Linked DNA regions of Coturnix japonica. The protein of the gene in region 2 purifies or fractionates together with the protein of the main gene of each other region. This does not show direct contact. Links are inferred from orthologs where the notes say so. Each region holds a gene or a part of one and is shown on either strand. Other genes may lie near its edges.

Region 1 (3,651 bases), on a different chromosome or scaffold from region 2:
CCCCCTCTTTTTTTAATTCAATACCTACTGAGCTCAGAGATAACTGGGTTTATCTGTGCTTCCATAAAGCAAGAACACAGGAAAAATAATTCAGCACACTCCAACTGAATGTGCTTGGATTGCAGAGTAACATACTTGACCAATTCACGTATTCACATCAATTACATCCTCACACTCCTGCTGTTTTCCTCAGTGAGGTTCAGTCTCACAGCCTGACGGGATGCAAAAGAAGATCTCCAAGCTCAGTAGGAACATCTGAAGAAAGCAGCTCCAGAATAAAGATCTACAAAGCGTAAGAAAGTGACACAACAGACAACTGCACCGGATTCAAAATAGGATGTCAGTCCCCTTCCCCACTCCCCAAACCTGTATTATAAAATCCCCTCGGTTCTATCACAAAACTTTTGGCCATCAAAACTGTTGCATCGTGCCAACAAAATTCAGACAAGAGAACAAAGTAAAATCCGCGGCTGCCATAATGCACAGAAGGGCCAAAAGAAGTGTATGTAATTAAGAGCTGCTCGCACCTTTTCACCAGGAGCAGATACCATTAGTAAATATTTAGTTAAACATATGCAAGAGGCAGTTTTAGTGATCCCAAACAAACTCCAGATAAGGAATTACTGCAATAAAAAAATCTGTGCGTTTGTTACATTTGTACAAGTGCAATATTTAGGTTTCAAAATAAAAGGATAACAAAATGAGCACACCTATTTATTCAGAACATCAGAACCTTTCCTTACATGACTGAAGAAAGGACTTAAAAGTATGATTGATAGCTGGTCCCACATACTGTCATCTCAGTCTCAATAGTTCAAACACAATAGTTTTTCCCTAGGAGAACCCTTCCACTCTGAGCTACATATATGCTATTCAAAATATAACCTTGCACTACAGGGACCGTGCGAGACACTACTTGAGGACAAGAAACTGAAGCTGTACCTACATACAAGACAGGACACACAATTGCCCAGTTGAGAAGAGCTACAGCACTTCTGAGGCTTAAGCATATCTAAATTTCTTCAAATTTGTAACAGAGGAATTTCTGGACTGAAGCCAACTGGACTGCATTACACTGTTCTTGTCATCTGAGGTTAGCAGCGTGTCAGGGATGGGATCTTAGACTCATCACTGGCTAGAAGTCCCATCCATCCTAACAAAGTCCAGGTTACACTGTTTATATTAATGCCTTGATTTCCAGTTTCTAAATGGGAGAGCAATCTTTTAAAGCCATGTAGTCTATCTCAAAAAGAAAAATCCCCTAATAAGAAATTAAAATGGTTTATGGCAATTTACTGATTAGCATTTACATCCATCAGTGCTAGATGAAAATGGAACTGTGGGTACGTACATCCAACTTACAAGATATTTAGCATTTTTCAGCAAATATATCTGATTCAGCATTTAAGGTCATCTTCTTAAAACATTTCTTCTGCAGTTACAACTACTGTTATCTGTGACTGCAATCTACATTTCAAAACCTCCTAACCATTAACACTTTAGTTGTCATATTCAGCTTTAAACATTCAATGGAAAAACAGCACTATTAATTTCCACAATTTAAGTAGTAAAATTTGTTTGAGGGTAGTCCGGAAAAACTAAGCCTATCGATAAGTTTCAACTGCAATGTGAATTCTACATAGCATATAGTAAGTTAACATGTGATGTAAGCAAACATATCTAAGTATTAACTTTTTTTTTTCTTTAAAGCGTGTCAATTTCAGATTGCAGAATAACATGCAACAACCCCTAGGCTGTGCTCTTAACTACATGCATTTACTTCTAAGGATTCTCAGCCTGCCAGTAGCTGTGCTGCTACTACACTATGGTACGAGCTAGCAAACCTGCACAGATCAGGAGCTTGCTCACAGTGCTTTAGAGCAGTGATCTGTTTCAGGCCATTGCATGGCGTGTCTTCTCAGCATTGTCTCTCTTGGCACTGCTGTGGCTTCAACTGTTCTACTTAATCCCCAGAGAACTGTACTCGTAACTGTGCTGCAGAGCACTTACACGTACTGAAAATTCCAATTGGTTGGATTTGCCAACATTTACTCAAGTGCATCAACTATTGAATGGCATATTACAGCACATCAGACTTTGTTTAAAAATCTCATTTACTGCTGAATAAAGGGGGAAGGAACAGCAGTTTTAACACTTTACTGTTAGGAGACATTAACTGTTCTGATCAACTGAGGCACAAACGTAGACAGTGACCAACAAGTCATACTTAGGTCAATGAACTTGTAAGCGCACATTTTCTTACAGTGCTCCAGAGGTATGCATCACCAACAAGAAGGACAAAAAGGACCATGTAATGTAAATGTTATATAAATACTAACGTGCACTCAATGAAAATGTTACAAGCACTGCCAAGGGGCATGTGACTTCCTGTACCTGTATTAAGCTACTGGATAGCAGAAAATCAAAATTCACTCCAGCTTCAAAGCAATATACCTAATTCATAATGATTTAAATCCCCAGGTAAATTGCATTTTGCAGCTAGTTTTTTCAGCGCCTTAATTTAAATTGATTACAACTGGAAGCATCTGACTACAATTTATGCATGCTTATTGCTGTAAAAGAAATAAGCCCACCTTCAAAGTTATTGTGCAAGTATTTTAATAAGATTTGCACACATCTCAAAAAATTCTATTGTATGACTGCCAGGTCTTGGAGTTAAGTCAGCTGTCGAAGAATCAAGTGAAGAGGTCATTGATGAGGTAAGCGACGTATCTGCAGATTTTCCTTGTGCATCACCATCTGAGTCTTTCTGACATGATCTGTAGTTGCTCACAGAACCTGATCTCTGTGGAGTTGCAGTCCCAGACTTTGTTTCAATAATTTCATCTGAAAAGGCCAGTAGAGAGTAAAAAATTAGTCATTCACATCAAACTAGCCAGAAGATCAGCAAAATATTTTTCCCCTCAGACTTAATCTTGTTTTTAAAATCCTTGTTAACATTTAAACAGCTCTTGTGAAGTATATATAGTTAATACAAAACAAAAGCTTATAGAAGTAGTAACAGAAGCAGTCATCCTTATGCAAATTGGTACAGTGCTATGAACTGTGCTTCAGGACAATATGATCAACATTAGACGAGCAGCCATCATTTTCCAGTCAGTAAATAATTTCAGTGGCTAACAGTTCAACTGATTTACTTCATTTATCTTTAAACTCCCATAGTTATCTGTTTAAGCTTAATAACAGTTCAAACATTTTGTACATACTTTCTCCTAGCATCTACTTTGTTTTTATTGTATTTGGTTATTTATATTTTATTTCTAATATTCTTAAGACTAATTGTGCATTGATTGCAACTATTTACAAAAGTGAAAAACAAACTGATGTGTTTCTTTTAGAATTTTATACACCTTGAACTATATCTATAGCAACTTAAGCTTACCTCCCATATTAGAAAGAAATACTTCCATCTTAGAAGCAAGGTCTGCTGAAGTATCTTTTACCTTACTTTAGAAACTGAACATTAGCTTGTTATTAGACTCACACTTGTACCTTAGAGTTATGTCCAGGAAAAATTAGTGAGTAAAGGAGGGACTGTTTTTTACATCAGTCAAATCTACTTGAAACTGCAGTCCCATAAAAGAAATACTTAATAGTTATTTGTAGCAAAAAGAAATACCAAATCAGCTT
Region 2 (3,751 bases):
AAGCTTCTGCAAGAGCAGGTTCTGAGGACCTCTGCTGAGCTACACACGCATGCAAATGTGCACAACTACACGTGCATGCACAATGTGCACAGCCACTTATGCATACAAATGCATACCCCACGTGTGCACAACCACGTGTGCAACCACACACCAGTATGCACAAACCAGTGATGCACACACCAACAGTGCACACTGCGCTGACAGCCAGAAACACTGTTATTGGCAACCAAGACAACACTGCCAAGGGCTAGTTTGATTTAATTAAGCAACTAACGTAAATTTTAAAAACTCCTTGAAGTGGGAATACCTTTAATTAGGGCAATTCTCCACAAGCAGCACTACTGTTTGCGAGCAGCTCCTTCACAGAGCTCCGGAGATTCCCCACTTTGCAGAACACACCACTAGCAGCACCTTACCCCCAATTTCTGCAGCTCCTAAGCAGGTCTGCTCCTATCTGGGCAGTGTTTCCCGGTGTTCTCCCTGTGCTGGGGGTTAAAGATTGACACAAGGCGCTATGCAGGTGCCCAGGGATGCTTTTGGAATGCATCTCCCCACCTCCTTGCAGCACACAGACTCCCGTGGTAACTAGCATAGAAAGTGACTAGCCGAGAAGCAGTGGCACAGCTCAGAGCTCAGCAAAGCCTTTATCAGCACCGAACAATGGGGTGGAAGCATTGGCCAAACTTGAGACCGCCTCTCCCTGGGCTCATCTAGCAGCTAATTATCCTTGAGGAACTAACAAAGGTGGGCAGGCCCGGGTGTCCAGGTGGAGCACCTCCAAGCTTCCTAGTGAGCCTTCTCCTTTGCTTGGCTGCAATTAAAACCCACCTAATTGCACAGGGGCGTTCTCAGCAGGGTGGTTTGGGGTCTGCTGTCTAGAAATCTCGGGTGCTGCTCTCCCCCTGCTCACAGGGAACTGACCCCAGTCCCTCCTCGTCCCAAGGGGAGGGGACCTCACGGGAACATGCAGCCCGTGTCCTGCGGGTTCCCCAGCACCGGGTCCCATGTGTGGCCACCTCCAGGGCCCTGTTATGGCTGCCCCATGGCCACCTCTGGAGCCAAACCACAGCCATCACAGAGGCTTCTTCCAGCACCACCTCCAGGCTCACCCCATGGCTGCATCCAGAGCCACTCCCTACTATCTCACCATCGGGTGCACTTTTCCCTCCCAGGGTTCCAGCAGCTATCACTATCTCCAGCACCTCCACAGAAACCTACATTCCTCCTCCTGCCCCATATTTCCTCCTCCCACCCCATATCTTCTACTCCCACTCTATTTTCTCCCTGCTTTCTCCCACATCCTGGCCCACCAAGGCAGTGTAATGTCACACGATGGGGTCCAGGACTCACACGGCATCCCCTGCCACAGCACCACGGGGACACTGACTTGGCTCAACCCTGGGTTACCCCTTACAGTTTGTAACTCCCATAGGTCAGAACAGCCAGGGGACAGCTGGGGTGACAGCAGCACATCCTGCCAGGTGTGGGTTGGGTGAAAAAACAAACACAAAATCCAGATGATTTGGGAGACCCACACCACTACAGGCAGAGGAAACAGTGGGATCTGAACCAGACGCCCCATTTACTTTGTCCACGCTGCTGCACCTGCCCTGAATAAAACTGCACGTTGCTGCCTGCACTCGGGGGTATTTTTGGTCAATGCCATTAGGAAACTCATTAAATCCTCACCGCGCAGCAGCCTCATTTTCTGACTGAGAATAAATCCCCTCTTTGGACACTGCAGTACCGACGGGCCTCGGTCCTCATCCCAACTGTAATCCTGGTCCCAATCTTAATACCGATCCTAATCCCAATCCTGATTCCAGCCCCAATCGCAATCCTAATCCCGGTCCCAGTCGCCAGACGAACCCCAATCCCGATCCTAATCTCAAACTCGATCTCAGTCCGACTCCGGTTCTGCCGCGAGGGATGCGCTGCTCCGTGGGCACGAGCGGAGCGCACCCAAAGGCGCAGCGCTACGGACCTCAGTCCCTCCCTCGCCCCCTCCGTGGGCGTAACGCTCCGTTCCCCCCTCTCCACACTCCACAACCGACACGGCTCGGCCCCACGCGTGATGCTGCTCCCATCACCCCCATCCCGGCCCCACGCGTGATGCTGCTCCCATCACCCCCATCCCAGCCCCACCTGCTGCCGCCCGCGCTCCGCCACCGCTCGGCTCCGAAGTGGCATCGCGCGCCCGCGCCGGCCGGGTTTCCCCGTCGCTTCGCCCCGCCCCTCTCCCCATCTCCCATTGGTAGCTTCGTCCGCCCGTCTGCTCCACACCGCCCGCAACGCTTTCTCATTGGCCGGAGTGGAGGCGGTATGCAAATCAGAGCTTTTCCCCGCCCCGCGGTGTGACCCGCTGATCCCGGCTCCTGCTCCGAGACGTTTCCAATCACTGCGTTTCTCTCCACCAGGTAGTGAGTGTGAGTGTGAGTGTGAGTGTGAGTGTGAGTGTGAGTGTGAGTGTGAGTGTGAGTGTGAGTGTGTGGGGCATCACTGACACAGCTGCACCTCGTGCAGGATCCCGCGCTGAAGCCAACATCCTACAAAGCTGCAGCTGTGGGGGCTGCGTTGGGCTGCGCGTGACTGCGGCGCTCCATTTGTTCACGTGCAGAGAAAACTAAACGTGTACGAGACTTTGCATTGGAGCAGGGCACCGGGGTGTCTGTACCAGAGCCCTTCCAGCGGCTGTAGCAGCAGCGCGGCGTGGGGGGGCTCAGTCCTCCCCCAGCCCAACTTTGCAATTGGTGTTTGTAAGGAAATTCGATGTTAGAAGAGCACGAGCTGACGTCAACTTCCCCATGCCAGGAAATGCACGGTGCAGCCCTGTCCTCGCCTCACCCGCCCGCAGTGCCTGGGTGTTGTAGCACAGCGTTACGCAAGATCCCGCTGCGCTGGGCTGGGAGCGGAGCTGCAGCCCCCAGCAGTGACATGGGGCGCAGGGAGGTGATGGCAGGATTGGGGCCCACAGGAGACAGCCGTGGGCATAGGAAGAGTGGGGACGTGCTGCAGCGTGGCACTGCAACAGGGGGAAGTCTTGCATGGTTTGGGTGCAAAGCCCTGGTGCTGGGTGTGTTGCTCCCTCCCACTCCCCCCCAGTGCCTGCCCCATCCCAGGAGGAAATCTGCTCCTCTGGAGCAAAATTCCAGGAATAATCTCTGAAGGCTCCGCACAGCTGCCAGGGCACTGCTTGTCCCTCGTCAGTCATCCTTCTGGCATATGGCTGTCCCTGGTGGGGACAGGGATCAGGGTGAAGCCTTGAGCTTGGGCACCCCAAGTGATAGCTGGGCATGCTGACACCTGGGTACCCTTGGGGTGACAACCTGGGGATGTGCTCCCACACCATGTACAGTGTGAGGGCAAAGCCTTCTGCCCAAAGGTAGGAAAAAGGAAAAAGGGGAAGGGGAAGGAAAAAGGAGAGGAGAGGGAGAGGGAGAGGGAGAGGAGCTCATCCCCTGCTCCCTCCCTCCTGCAAACCGCAACACCTCTGAGCCCAGCACACCGTTGCTCCCTGAGTCCTTCCTGCAGCAATGGAGACACCAAACTGAGCCCCTTGCCCCTTTTAGGTATGCAAAGCAGTTTGTTGGGTGGTGCCCCCCTTGCACCCCTCCCCTTCTTCCCTGTGAGCTCCCCACTTTGTGTCCCAGCCCAGGCTGGGGGCTGAGCTGTGCCATGGTGTGAGCTCAGCCCTGTGCTGCAGCAGCCGGGTGTTTATGGAGGCGAAGGGCTGGGGTTGCACAACCGCAGT

What was found. The genes of interacting proteins can lie anywhere in the genome.
Region 1: the proteins of FKBP5 (region 2) and PRKAA1 purify together in Homo sapiens (affinity purification with mass spectrometry; 3 studies listed by BioGRID and IntAct, with this or other methods). This does not show direct contact. The link is inferred for Coturnix japonica from reciprocal best matches to the Homo sapiens genes FKBP5 and PRKAA1.

The regions. Positions count from the first base shown.
Region 1 is NC_029547.1:11,799,238-11,802,888, forward strand, and holds part of PRKAA1 (5'-AMP-activated protein kinase catalytic subunit alpha-1), read right to left. Parts: intron 2,848-3,651; coding exon 2,603-2,847; 3' UTR 1-2,602. UniProt on the Homo sapiens protein: Catalytic subunit of AMP-activated protein kinase (AMPK), an energy sensor protein kinase that plays a key role in regulating cellular energy metabolism.
Region 2 is NC_029541.1:463,997-467,747, forward strand, and holds the start of FKBP5 (peptidyl-prolyl cis-trans isomerase FKBP5), read right to left. Parts: upstream 2,252-3,751; 5' UTR 2,191-2,251; coding exon 2,146-2,190; intron 486-2,145; exon of another isoform or gene 308-485; intron 1-307. UniProt on the Homo sapiens protein: Immunophilin protein with PPIase and co-chaperone activities. Component of unligated steroid receptors heterocomplexes through interaction with heat-shock protein 90 (HSP90).